2 linked regions of the Callithrix jacchus genome follow. The protein of the gene in region 2 interacts with the protein of the main gene of each other region in a pairwise test. Links are inferred from orthologs where the notes say so. Each region holds a gene or a part of one and is shown on either strand. Other genes may lie near its edges.

What was found. The genes of interacting proteins can lie anywhere in the genome.
Region 1: the proteins of MAGEB4 (region 2) and MED21 interact in binary tests that used the Homo sapiens proteins (3 or more experiments, as listed by UniProt). The two-hybrid records come from large-scale screens. The link is inferred for Callithrix jacchus from reciprocal best matches to the Homo sapiens genes MAGEB4 and MED21.

What each region holds. Positions count from the first base shown.
Region 1 is NC_133510.1:44,219,527-44,227,340, forward strand, and holds the start of MED21 (mediator of RNA polymerase II transcription subunit 21), read right to left. Parts: upstream 5,016-7,814; 5' UTR 4,993-5,015; coding exon 4,951-4,992; intron 1,305-4,950; coding exon 1,190-1,304; intron 920-1,189; coding exon 819-919; intron 1-818. UniProt on the Homo sapiens protein: Component of the Mediator complex, a coactivator involved in the regulated transcription of nearly all RNA polymerase II-dependent genes.
Region 2 is NC_133524.1:31,133,224-31,140,455, forward strand, and holds MAGEB4 (melanoma-associated antigen B4), read left to right. Parts: upstream 1-2,793; 5' UTR 2,794-2,929; coding exon 2,930-3,970; 3' UTR 3,971-4,523; downstream 4,524-7,232.

The DNA.
Region 1 (7,814 bases), on a different chromosome or scaffold from region 2:
GTCACAGAGGTACTTATTTTTAAATCTGGATGACTTTGCAATTATTGTGTTTTTCAGCAAAGAAATTCTAAAAATCAGATAACTTCTAAGAATTTTCCTCATTTGAATTATTAAAAAGAATGAATTTTCAATTAGAAATCTCTAGATATCTGTAAGTGACTCCCTTCCACACTACATTTGGGCACCATTGTTCTACTCCACATCTAGAATGCCACCCTCCTCTCATTCTTCACTAGGAAAAGAGACACAATTGAGGAAATAAGAGGTTTCCTTATAATGGAAAATTGAATATTATAACAAAAGGTGCTATGATTTGAATGTGTCCCCTCCAAAATTCATACGTTATGTGTCCCCTCCAAAATTCATACGTTAAAATCTAATCCCCAATGTGAAGGTATTAAGAAGGAAAGGGCCTTTAAGAGGATATTAAGTCATGAAGGCAAAGCTCTCATAGAATTAGTGCCCTCATAAAATGGCTTGAGGTTGAAGAGGGAATTCTTGCTCTTTTGTCCTTCTGCCTTCTGCCATGTGAGGAAATAGAAAGAAGGCCCTCAACATGGCCTTAAACATGGCCCTAAACATAGCACTGTGTTAAATAAAAATGTCTTACTCATGCACAATGAGTAATAAATGTCTTGATCTTGGACCTCCCAGCCTACAGAAACTGTGAGAAAATAAATTTCTGTTCTTTATAAATTATTGTCTCAGGTATTCTGTTACAGCAGCACAAATGGACACAGACAAAAGGTATTAAACCTTGCTCCTTTAATTCAAAATTCTCTATTACTGGTAAAATTCTCAAAGGAATAAAGACTTACCTGTAAAGCAGCTGTAGACTCTTCACTGGGTAGGGAATCTATCAAAACATCAATGTCTTTTGCTGTTCGTGCAATCAGTGCTGCAAAAAGCTGGGCATACTCTAGAGAAAGATAATGCTAGATCAGGTCATTAGAAAACCTCAAGTTTTCAGAACAAATTTTAAGTTAGTGAAACTGGAAACTTCACATAGCTTTTTCTGCACTAGGATTCTAATGATTAAAATATACACAAATCCTATTACACATTTAGCTCAAATTGGGAATTAAGCATAATTTTTGGAAACAAAATAAGCCGAATTGCTCAATAAATCTAATTTGAAAGGATTACAATAAATGTGAGAGTCAAAGAGAAGCTAAGAAAACCAGTTTACCTTCTGTAGGATTAGCTGGCTGGTCTTTGTTAATTGCTGTCTGAATATTACTAAAAGACGCAGGAGGACCACACTGCTGCAATACTCCAATGGCATTACAAAACTGATCTGCAAGCTTAGGCCAAAGAAAACATGTCAAGGTTAGGAAGGACTTATCAATTTTAAGGACTTTATTGATAACAGCAACAACAATAAATTTCTTTAATCATAATCTCTGAGTAAGGGAATAAAACAGAAAGGAATAATTGCTGATAAAATAAGCCAGTTACTAATAACGTTAATTAAACATTTTAATTCTGCAAAGAAACTAAGTTTGGTATCAACCCAGTTGAAACAGTTGAAATAAAAATAATATTTCTTTTCTTTTGATAGTAAAATGGTAAGAGAACACTAGCCAATATTTATTATAAGCCAAAAGTAAAGACTTTTGGGGAACAGTGATGGAAAAGAGCAGTGATGGAAATCTGACTTGCAAATATCTACCTATGGCATTGCGTCAAATGAAAATTTATTATTCATGTACAAAGTATATAATTCCTTTTCTGAAACTGGAGTAGTTACAAGCATAAAGAAATAGTGGGGAAAAGGCTGCTCAGAAAAGCACCTTAAGTAATCAGAAACATATTTGTTCAAGACTCAAGTTTTAAACTCTTGTGCGCTAAAAGTACTCCTTAAGTACTTCTAAAGATTGAGAACAGCAATTCCTTATCATCTCCAAATTAAAAACGCCTATCCTCCCCACCAATTTCTCTCACCTAGTCTTGACCTCTCAAACCTCCTATTTCTAATAAGCATTTGCACTGGGTTTCTCTGCCATTGTTCAATTACAGAACTCAAAGGCAACTGTTTTCTCTGTTTAATTTGTATTGACAGTCTCTAAGTCAACCAGTCTAACCACAGATTCTTACTTTCCTTTGATCTTCAAATTCTACTAATACTTCTAATCTTTCTCTTTTCCTCTGTCTTGTTTTCCACTACTCCTTCATATTTACCTAGTTATAAAGTCACTCATGACTAAATGGCTTTGTCCAGGTTTTGCTAATTGTAATGGAGCAATAAGCGCTCAGCTGCTATACAAGTCTAGATCCTAATCCTAGTTCTATTAACTCAAGTAGCATTTATCATTTTTAAATTGGATACATTCTCATATTACAACATTGTTGTGAGGAACAGACAAGACACAAAAATATTCAACACAGTGGTTATCTGTTCCATTCTTCAAAAGCTCTTAAGATCCATTTAGTCAACAAAAATTTATGGAAAATAACTATGACAAGTATTGTATATAAACACATAGTAAATGAGACATAGCTTCTGCACTCAGTTTTCAGAGGGTAGAACAACTGTTAAAAGTTATACAAATAATTAATTATGATTAGAATAAATGCTTAAGAAGATTCTCCCTATTTTGGTTCACATCACTCCATATTCCAATTTACTTCAGAACCTGCAGTTGAAAACACTCAATTCATTGTAACTCCCTAATCACAAACTGTTTTTCCATCACTTAAATGTCTCCTGAATATACATTTTTTAACCTCCTGAAGGAGTATCTCTTTGAAAACATGATCGCGCTTATATACAGTAGGCACTCATACTAGTTATCCTAAATGCTTCTCTCCAAAATCCAATTATCAGTATGCTTAACCTAAAGTTAAGGCCATATTCACTCTGTTCTTACTATCCTTCTAGTTACAAGACATACATGAATATAAGAAATTTTCCCTAAAATAAGATTTCTATCCAGCAGCATCATTACAATTTGATTTTGTAAAACCTCGAAGGAGTAGTTCCCTGAAGGAGGCTGGCTGGCAGCCCAGGCAAGTCCCTGCAGGGTAGAATTTATCTTGATGAAGTCAACATTTAGAGACTGGTCCTCTCAGCCTTAAAAACTACTGTTAATCACCCAGAGTATATCAGTTTATCACAAGTAGATTCACACTCTTCAAGTGTGCAAAGCCTGATGTATTAACAAAAATACCAAGTTATTAGCTTACAGTGAGTGGGGGAAAAAAAAACTGGCACCAGCAGTGTAAAAGTGTTCCTATTTCTCCACATCCTCTCCAGCATCTGTTGTCTCCAGAGTTTTTTAATGATTACCATTCTAATTGGCATGAGATGGTATCTCAATGTAGTTTTGATTTGCATTTCTCTAATGACCAGTGAGGATGAGCTCACTCATAGGTGGGTGTTGAACAATGAGAACACATGGACACAGAGAGGGGAGCACTACACACTGGGGTCTGTTGGGGGGAAATAGGGGAGGGACAGCGGGGGGGTAGACAGTTGAGGAGAGAGAGAATGGGGAGAAATGCCAGATATAGGTGAAGGGGAGGAAGGCAGCAAATCAAACTGCCACGTGTGTACCTATGCAACTATCTTGCATGTTCTTCACATGTACCCCAAAACCTAAAATGCAATAATGAAAAAAAAAAAAAAAAACTGGCAAGGAGACCAGGTACTTAGGTTTTCCTCGCAGCATGTTTTCTCTGCAGCCCCTTATTTAAGACATTAAATCACAATTAGACAATGAGAAACATAACTATCGAGGAAAAACTATTTAACGGAAAACTATGTAATTTGTAATGGTAATAAGTATACCCACAGCCTCATAACGACGTCTTGATCAAAGGATACTATGTCAGTCCCCTGTGGTTAGAACAAAGCTGAAAATTCTTACCGCCTAGTGACATCGTAGCAGTCCTAACGCTGTAGCGCAATGCATTACTTAGTGCTCGCAGTGATGCTGGTGTAAACCAACCTACCACACTGCCAATGTATGAAAGTACAGCACATACAATTATGTAGAGTCCATAATACCAGATAATGATACTAACTGTTACTGGTTAATGTATTTACGGTTTACATAACCCATTCTTTAAGGGCCCATACTCATGATTGTATACGCATCCTTTGGCTTTGCATCTACTTTCCACTCAGGCAATACTGTGGAGGAAAAATAACCAGAAGGAACAAAATTGGGGAACTACTCACAAGACTTTGCCTTTAATAGAATAGAATTTGGGGGAGACATTAAAAAAGTGTTTACAGGCCAGGTGTGGTGGTTCACACCTGTAATTCCAGCACTTCGGGAGGCCAAGCGAGACAATGTCTCAAAGAAAAAAGAAAAAAGGACTCAAACGGAAAGGTATGCGAGAATTAGAAGATTTCCTATCATACAGATGTCCCCAAACTGATGTATTCTAAAGGGTGGCCAAGAGACAAGAGATGGAAGGAGACTCTGGGCCCATAGGAACGAGCTAAGACGAAAGATCTCTCACCTCACCTCAGCTTCGCTCCCGCACCAACCTGAAAGCGCCGACATTTCATTACAAAAACCCAGTCATCCAGAGCATGAGACCTCCCTTGGTGGATTAAAATTGATGAGGAAAGAAAAAAGCTTCGGCTTCTCCCCCAACTCCCAAAAGAAAGAGATTCCGTAAGCACCACTAATAATAAAACTGTCCTCAGGGAACACGACAGGACCGCGCAGCCCACAAATCTTGGCGGTCTGACCCGGACAAGAGCGACCTTCCCTGTCTCGGTCTCCTCAGGCGAAAGAGGCTGCCTCGCACGGCAGCCGGCTTCAAACGTCCAAGTTCGCGGTGGGGCCTCCCTCCATAAAGGGGGACACGCTCTTTATGCCGAAGCCGTGTCTCAGTTCGCTTCCTACTTCCAAGTTTTGCCTTTTGGGCCCCTTTCCTCCCTTGCTTTACCTCAGGAAAGAAAAGGACAGAGGTTAATCGAATGAAATTCCTCACCGAATTCACCGCGTCTTGCAGCTGAGTGAGCCGATCCGCCATGTTTCTCTTGCACACAAACAGACGCCGTAACAGCTGCTCTTCCGCGACTGGGCCGCTCTGGCACGCGTCTTGGCCAATCACAGGGCTGCGTTCTTGGAAGGGGTGGGGTCGGAGAGAACTGCCCGCCCTGTCAGGAGGGGCTGGGACTCCCCGAGCGGCCTTTCTAGAGCGGGCTACAGCTGGATGAGGCTGAATCTTTTTGAGTAACTGGGGAAGAATGGTCGCGGTCCAGTTGCTTTGAGGGGTTTCTTTAGATTTTTAGGTGTTAAAGCCTTCAGAGATTGTTGGATTCTGCGGAGATTTTTTTTTAGTGATTTCTCTTACCCTCATGTATTTATTTACTGACCAAATTGAACACTAGATATTTTTATATTATTTTTTCTTTATATATATATGTATATTTTATTGCGTTTTAGGTTTTGGGGTACATGTGAAGAACATGCAAGATTGTTGCATACGTACATACACGGCAATGTGGTTTGCTGCCTTCCTCCCCATCACCTATATCTTATATTTCTCCCCATGTTATCCCTCCCCAACTCCCCACCCCCCGCTGTCCCTCCCCTAGTTTATATTAATTTTTTTATATCGTCTTGAAAGCTTCCGTTGCTTTTGCTTTCTAGGTTTCAATAATATAGTCAACATTATTGAATATAAACTTTATATTATTAAAAGTTTCAAACATATTCAAAAGTAGAGAGTGTAGTGAACCCTCGCATACCTTTCACCAGCTTCAACAGTTTAGCAACTCACAGACAATCTTGTAGATACTTTGGGTTTTACATTTGTAGTAACTCTCTATTTATTTTTCAGAAAAAACCTTTAACAAGGTTTCCAGTGGACCACAAAGCATATACACAGCAAGCAAACTCGAGTACTTGGGAGTCACAATATGGACTTTAAACAAATATGAGGTTACTCCTCTAACCAACCTTCATATGTACCCCTGAACCTAAAAATTAAAAAAATAATAAATTAAAATTCATGAGGCAATCATGAAGAACAGGATTAGGGTGCCTTCTCTGTCACCTTTGAGCTGAAGAGGTTGGGGCTACCCATATGGAGACTGGGTGCCCACTTTCATTCTGAGTGGGGTGGGCTGGGACAGGTGACACTCAATAAACAGAAAGTGTCCAAAAAGGTCAGGTACTAACCTGGGCAGTAGTGACCATGTGTGAAGAAGAAAGGAAGAAGAGCATTTAGAGTTACGAGGGAAAGTTTAAGTGTAGGTAATTAATAAGCTTCTTTGGTTTCCGTGACAGTGAGGAAATCCCTGTGAGGAACAGAGGAGGGTTAGTGGAGAGGAGAGTGGAGGTTTCACAGTATATTGTTGCAAAAGAGATTCCTGGAAAATAAGCTAGATGCATTGGTAGAGCAGGTTCACTTTTAAGAAAAATCAGAAGCACAATTTAGATTTAGAGTTGGGACGTATTGAGATTTTAAGTGTGAAGAGTGATAATAGAAATTTGATATTTAAGGAAATTTAGCCTGAGGATAGTCTGGTAAGAAATGAGTTTGGATGGCCAGGCTCGGTGGCTCAAGCCTGTAATCCAAGTACTTTGGGAGGCTGAGGCGGGTGAATCACAAGGTCAAGAGATCGAGACCATCCTGGTCAACATGGTGAAACCCCGTCTCTACTAAAAATACAAAAAATTAGCTGGGCATGGTGGCGCGTGCCTGTAATCCCAGCTACTCAGGAGGCTGAGGCAGGAGAATTGCCTGAACCCAGGAGGTGGAGGTTGCGGTGAGCCGAGATCGCGCCATTGCACTCCAGCCTGGGTAACAAGATCTCAAAAAAAAAAAAAAGAAAGAAAGAAAGAAATGAGTTTGGAATTGGCAAATAATAGGTTTGTAGACTTCAAACAAACTCTCATATCCTCTTTCTCAGGCTGATTATTCGTGATTGTTGCAGGGAAGGTGGGGGACACAGTCCCTCGGAAACAGCTTGTTGGATTTATCCCAACCCTTGCTGGGAAGCACCACTTCTGCTTCACACTCATGTGCCACCCCCATCCCCAAACAGTCTGCAGACGCACTGGGGCCTCACTAGGAACATGGATAAGGCATGCTCACCATAATGGGACTAATGAGAGATCACTTTATTTAACTGTAATTTTGAAGGAACCTACGACCTTCTTCTCCCACCCTCACTTAAGAGTGTACCTTACTGAATGCCTGCCATTTGCCAGGAAGTATATCCGGTGATCAGTTTGCAAAGATGCATAAGCCAAGGACTTAGAGGAAGGTTTTCCAGTTGTCCAAGAGTGAGATGAGCTGGGCCTAGAATAGAGTGTTGACAGATAAGAAGGAATGACTAAAATATATTTTTGAGAAAAAAATTAATATGGATTGGTTACTGCTTGGATATAGTTTAGTCCACTCAGTAAGAATACTAAGTTTTACAGTCTGATTGAAGGGAATGTGGGTACCTGAAGTAGAGAAGCCACTTCAAGACAACTCACATTGTGACACAGCTTTTGTCCTGCCATATCTTCCTAATAGGTCTTTGCCTCTGTGTCTCCACAGAGACCTCAGGTTGATGTCCAGCTATCTCTGCCTGATTTTCAAGTTTCACTATAATCTGGCTTCAGCGAATAGGCCCAGCCTTGCCACTTGATAATTTTCTGAGTGAAATAATCCTCTGTTTCAGCCAAGGCCCCTGACCCCTTGGTTTTCTGCTTCTTCAGTCTCTTTTGGAGAATCAGATTAAAGAATCAGCTAAAAGCTGTGGACCATTTCCCCAGAGCAGGTCCACAACTTAGCTTACATTTGAAAAGGGGTTTATGAGTCTCTTGAAGCCGTAGACTTCAGGAATAACCCAC
Region 2 (7,232 bases):
TTGCATAATCAAATACATATAAACTCAAAGGATCATGGGCTCACATTCTGTCATTCTGGTCAGTCCCCCCATTTTTTAAGGAAGTTAAATACTTTCCAAGAGAAATACATAAGAGACTGGTAAAGAGAAGAAATAGATCAATGTGTTTCTCTGACAGTATGACTTCTATCCTGGGGCTTCTGTTTGTGTTACAGCTTCCCCATCTTACATCACTCCTGGGACAGGGATGCATTGTCTGCAAGATTTGTTGTAGGGAAACTGGTCAAGACTTTTAAGGGATGTGGTATTTCCCAGGAAGTCATTAATTAAGGGACAAGAACCAAGAAAAAGACCCTCATATAGGAGGACAGAGCAGAGCAACATGCCAGACACAGTTCTTAGCCTGAGCATCTCCTCACTTATTCTTCAAAGTTCATAGGGACTTGTGAGTTCTTGGACCTCAGGTCAGTAGAGGGAGGAGTCCCATTCTCTGACACGTACCAAGTTGAGGACCCTGAATAAAGAATGAGGGAAGCATTCACCCCAATAGTCTTGACAGGATGTAGCTGAACCTAATTTCTACTCCGGAGGTCTTAAGAAGTTAAAGACCATTATCTCAGGCTAGCTGACTCAGGTCCATAGAGATAGGATTCCTAAGGTGTGCCAGGAGTAAAGTGAGTACCCTGAAGGGTGCAGGAACCACCAAACCCCTATCAGTGTAGACCCCACAGAATCCTCCCTATTGTCATCTCTGAGAGATTCAGGCATGAATGTCAGACAGAGGCACCCTCATATCATCAGTAGTAACAGAGAAGTGAAGGTCTTGTTCTGAGGTGGGCAGTCCCAGCTCAGCAGGGGGAGGAATATTAAGCCTTCCTGTGAGTCAGATTTAGGATCCTGAGTTAGGACCTGAGTAGGACGATCCACCATAAGACCTCAACCTGGCTACCACAGCCGCCACTCTTGGGAGACCATAGTCAGTTATGGCCAGATAAGGCCACCCTCTCCTCCTCCTATCAGATCTCAGGGAGGTACAGGCCTTTTAAACAGAGAGGTCTTGAGGTCAAAAAGGAGGGGAGCCTCAGGATCTTCCAGGAGCCAAATAAAGGAAAACAAGTGAGAGCTGAGGGGGCTGCTCACCTCTAAATAGAGAGGACAACAGACTCTAGCCCCCTGCATAAATCTTAAATTGCCAGGGCAACATGTGAGGCTGAGGCTTCACCATCACTTTTTTTTAAATACTTGACCTTCTTTTTTCAGAATAGTTTAATGTTCACAGCAAAACTGAGCAGAAAGCACAGAGAGTTCCACAGGCATCCTGTCCTCCCAGGCACAGCCTCCCTCATATCAACCTCCCAACCCAGGGTAATACACTTGTTACAATTGAGCATACAGGGACACATCATTATCACCTTATCAATTTAAGACAGAATTGCTTTACTGCCTTAAAAGTTCTCTGTGCCTCATGTATTTATCTCTCACTCTTCCCAACCCTTGGAAACCACTCAACTTTGTACTGTTTCTACACTTTTGCCTTTTCCAGAATGTCTATAGATGGAATTATGCATTGTGTTGCCTTTTCACATTGGCTTCTTTCACTTTGTAATATGTAGTTAGGTTTCCTCCATGTCTCTTTGTGGCTTGATAGTTCTTTCCCTTTTAATACTGAATAATATTTTATACTCTTAATTTACCCACTCTCCTTCTGAAGGACATCTTGGCTGCTTTCCAGTTTAGGCAATTATAAATAAAGCTACTATAAATGTTTGTGTGCAGGTTATTTTGTGAACATTCTTTTCAACTCATTTGGCTAAATAACAAGAAGTGCAGTTACTAGATCATATGATAAGACTACACATAGTTTTGTAAGAAATTTATAAACTGTCTTCCAAAGTGGCTGTACCATTTCGCATGTCCACCAGCAATGACAGTGTGCTCCTATTGCTCCACATCCTCGTCGGTAGTTGGGGTTATCAGAGTTTTTGATTTTGACCATTCTTATAGGTATGGAGTGGTTTCACATTACTTTAATTTGCAAGTCCCTAATGACATGTGATGTTGTGCATCACTTCATGTACGTATTTACTTTCTGTATATATTATTGTTGAGATGCTCATTTATATCTTTTGCCCATTTTTAATAGGGTTGGTCCATTCTTATTGTTCAGTTTTAAGAATTTTTTGTATGTTTTGGTTAACAATCTTTTATCAGATATGTCTTTTGAAAATAAATTTTTCCCAATCTGGGAGTTGTCTTATTCTTTGTGGTATCTTTACCAGAGCAGAAGTTATAATTTAGTGAAGCCCAGATTATCAATTTTTTTTTCATAGATGCCCATCACATTTTATGTCAGAACTAGAAAAGGTGAAATTCTTGGTCTGAAGTCGCAGTTATTAGTCATCAGAAGAGACAGTCCACAACCCTGCATGGAGTCCAGATGAGGAAACTGAGTGCAAACTTGGGACCTGAGGATCCCAGGACAGAGAGCACTAAATGCTTCGAAGCAGGGGTGGTGGGTTGAGGTGCCCCTACATTTCCCTCATCTGGGTCCCATAGAAAGTTAAAGATTCTACTTCACAACACCAATAGAAGGAGGCTGAGGCCCTGCCAAGAGCTGACAGGATAATTCTAAAAGTAATCAGAGTGGATCCTTTCCAAGCCAGAACACAGAGAGAACCCAGTCAGCCCCCAGCAGGGTTGGCAAGCTGCAGCCTAAGGCACATTGTAACTTCCTCAGCTGAGTTCTCAGGGGACAGAATGACGAAGAACAATAGCCCAGTCAATACTTAGAGCAGTGTTCTCAAGGAATCCTGCAGAGACGGTTTCTGAAAAGCCAAGGTAGTATCTGCCTACTAAAGGTGTTCTCAGGATCTCAATCTCTCTTCTCCAGGCACCATATCACCTGCCCTTCTGGCTACTCTCCTACCTGTTGTGCCTAATCACAGCTATCATGCCTCGAGGTCAGAAGAGTAAGCTCCGTGCCCGTGAGAAACGCCAGCGGACCCGTGGTCAGACCCAGGATACCAAGGTTGCTCAGGCCACTGCAGCAGAGAAAGAAGAGTCTCATTCCTCTTCCTCATCTGTTTTGGGGGATATTCCCTCCAGCTCCCCTGCTGCTGGCATTCTGCAGAGGCCTCAGAGAGCACTACCCACCACTGGTGCTGCAGCTATGTCATGCACTGGATCTGATGAAAGTGACAAGAGCCAAGGTGAGGAAAAGGCAAGTTCCTTCCAGGCCTCAACATCCACTGAGAGCTCAATCAAAGATCCTATAACCAGGAAGACGAAGATGTTGGTGCAGTTCCTGCTGTACAAGTATAAAATGAAAGAGCCCACTACAAAGGCAGAAATGCTGAAGATCATCAGCAAAAAGTACAAGGAGCACTTCCCTGAGATCTTCAGCAGAGCCTCTCAGCGCATGGAGCTGGTCTTTGGCCTTTCCTTGAAGGAAGTCAACCCGACCAGTCACTCCTACACCATTGTCAGCTTGCTGAATCCCACCAACGATGGAAACGAGAGCAGTTCCTGGAAATATCCAAGGAATGGGCTTCTGATGCCTCTACTGAGTGTGATCTTCTTAAGTGGCAACTGTGCCAGTGAAGAGGAAATCTGGGAATTCCTGAATGTTTTGGGGATCTATGATGGTAAGAGGCATATCATCTTTGGGGATGCCCGAAAGCTTATCTCCCAAGATCTGGTGCAGGAAGAATATCTGGAGTACAAGCAGGTGCCCAACAGTGATCCCCCACGCTATCAATTCCTGTGGGGTCCAAGAGCCTATGCTGAAACCAGCAAGATGAAAGTCCTAGAGTTTTTGGCCAAGGTGAATGATACCATCCCCAGTAACTTCCCACTCCTTTATGAAGAGGCTTTGAGAGATGAAGAAGAGAAAGCCAAAGCCCGGCCCAGAGTTGCAGCCAGGCGTGGCACTACTGCCATGACTAGTGCACATTCAAGGGACACATCCAGCAGCTCTTCCCACCCCATGTGAGATCTAAGGCAAATTGTTCAATTTGTAGTTGAAAGACCTGCTGCCTTCTGCTGTTCCTGTGCTGCATGAATAACTCGGTGATATATCTCTTTGTTGAATTTTCCTGTGATGTTTCTTAAAATAGAAAGGTTATTTAAATTCAGAATATAAGCTTAGAAATGGCATGCATCACACACTTATTTCTGTTTATCAGGTTGGTTTAGTAATAAGAGTTTGGTTTTTGAAATACAAATAGAAAATCTGAAAATCGTTTTTGTGATACAGAGCAAAATAACATGGCGTTGGAGTAAGGTTATTTTTAGAAATTTAAAATAACGCCACAGTAAAATAGAAGAATCTGAAGACAGAAAGAGAAGAAAAGCAAAAGTTGCTTTATTTTTGATTTATCTTACTACTTTTAGTCTTTTGTTGTTCATAAATTTGAAAGTTACATACCTGGTTTGCTTAGATTATTTAAGAATGTGGAGGCTTCGGCCAAGGTCAATGACAGTGTCCCCATTGTCTTCCCTCTATTAAGAGAAGACTTTGAGAGATGAGGGAGACAGTGTTGCAACTGCTCCTGGCATGTTCCAGTGTGATGTCCAACAGTGTCATCCACTCCTTGTGAAGTCTGAGGTATATTCTTTACTTTTAATTAAAGAAAATATTAACCTTCTAATTAATAGAGGGCCAAAGAGGAGTTGGTGGGAACATCATATATAATATATTTGTATGTAAAATGATTTATCTTTTCATTTTCCTGTTTTTCAGTGTTCTTTCTTTTAATTGTAGAATTATTTAGTTTCAGAATCTAAGTTTATGAATGGCATGAAAAACTCATTTATTAAAATATGTCAGGTTGAAGAACAAGAACTTTTGCATTATGTAAAACAATTTAAAATCTTTAAATCTTTTTCTGTGATCTAGAACAAGACAATATGACATTAGAATACAGAATTTGTGAAAAGGAAATTACCTAGCAATAAAGTTGGTGGGATCATGAAATAGAGAAAAAAAAGTAAAATGTGGTCAATTCTTGCTTTGTTTTATTCCTTTTAGTCTTTCTTTGTAAAACTGAAGTATATGTATCTGGATTGGGTTAGCTTTCTCAGGAATGTGGGAGAAATTAAATAGCAATACATTTGACTTCCGGCTCACTTGCACTTTAATTGTCCTAATATTAATTGAGCAGCTACTCTTCAGAGGGCTCCTAGCTAGCACTGGATAAGCAAAAAAATAAAAATTAAAAAAAAATAAAACCCTGTCCATAGAATTTTAGAATTCAACAGCAGCTATCACATAATGAAGGTAATGAGATAGTCCCTAAGACCTAAAGACAGTTGAAAAGAGGATATAAGAAGGTGGGGGTGTTTCTAGGGGAAGAATCTAGTGTAAATGTCCTAAGCAAGGTAATTGAGACTCTGGGAAACTGAACATACTGCAGTAGGAGGTAATTTTATGTTGCTGCATAGTGACTAGATGGGGCGCACCGAGCAGGGGGGTCACACACTCAGATGATGGATCTCAGAGTTGAGAGTTAGAGACTGGAATGAAAAATTGCCCTTAAAAGTTACTTTGGAATTGTGGAAAAAAACAGAGGAAATCTTTGCCTGGGGTAGGGATTGAAAATGGCCTGTGCTCTTGTCCCAGCGCAAGTGAATCCAGTACACAGATTAGGTGTTTTATGCACATAGTCCCCGGGGTGTTTCTGAGAAATAAAGGTGTTACTCCTTTAAGACTGGAAACTCATATGCCACTGGGCTAATACTCTGCCATCAGCTGGGGAGCCAGAATCCATTCCATTAAAAGGGCATTCATTTTTCTTTTCTTTCATGTGTTTTGGAAGTTTTAAGGGACATCTAGATTTTTGGTGATGGTAAAATAAATGAATATAAGGGTGGTTTGTATGAAAGGCTAGAGTTGGTCTTTGAAGCAAACCCTAGAAGGTTTCAGTTGCTTTCAGCTGAGAAAGACAACTCCACACTCAAACTATGATTCAGTATGGAAAAGATACTTAGAGTTTCTTTGTAAGCTGCATTTTGGGCTGATTTGTAGTTTCATGTCTTAGAATGTTGTATATTCTTTGTTATCACTTGGGCTTAAAAAAAATCAGCAGATTTCTTCTGAATCAACTACAGATGATTTCTTCTGTAGTTGAAATAATCATAGTAATAAGCATTGTTTAAAGTCTCAATGCACTCCAGGGCTTTGCACATGTTAACCACATTCCACCAGTCCTACATCACAAGGCTTATCAAGCCCATTTCACAGATGCAGAGCCTAAGGCTCATAGAGTTTGGTAATGTGCCCAAGTTCATACAGCTAGTAAGTGATAGGGCTGAAACTAGACTGCTGATCTGAATTCCTCTAGAGTCCACACTGTTCCACTCCTCCCAAACTGAAGCTTACCACAAGTTGCTTAATTCATTTTCTTCTGCTAACCCAAAGTGTATCTCAGGTAACAAAGAAGAGGTCTATGCCCCAAACACTGATTGGAATACAAAACCAGAGCAAGGATAATACCAAAATAATTGACACATGTAAGTTAAAGACAGAAAGAAATAATACTCGGTGACAATATGATCATCAACAGAAGCAAAATCAGATAGCTTCAAAAGATCGAAAGATTGCAAAATCATCTGGCTTCACCCTTTTCTATAGAAAGTAAGTCTTTTAGAAATACCCTTTGGTTGGTGAAGTGAAAGAACAGATCAGCATGTTTTTTCCCCTGAGAGCACAGTATCTGTCCTAGGCTCTCCACCTTCCATTTCAGTTTCCCAATGTCACATTACTTCTGGGACAGGGACCTCTTCTCTGCAAGCTCTGCAAAGAGGAAATTGATCAAATTTTTGCAGAGATGTGACATTTCCCTGGAAGACATTGATCAAGAGACAGGAGCCAACATGAGAACCCTCATGAATGAATAGTAGGGTGAAAACCATTTCAAAATGTAAGGTTTCATCTAGACCCTTCAGGAGGGTGACCTCAGTTCAGTAAACAGAGGAGTCCCAGGTTCTGATACATGTAAAGGCGAGGAGCAAAACTGTGGAGCTCTATTGAGGCCTGTCCTTACTATCTGTTCTTGCAGGTTGCAAAAGAACTATGATCATATGAGGATCATCCAGAATTCCAACTCCAAATTCTCAGGAAAACAGGACCTTTATGTGAGAGGAGCAGGTTCAGGTAAATAAAGGGTGGAGTTATAGGTTTGCTCACTTGTCAAGGTGAGAGGCTGAATGTGGACTAAGGGTTAAGAAGAGGCCTCACAAAAAGCCCCAGGCGG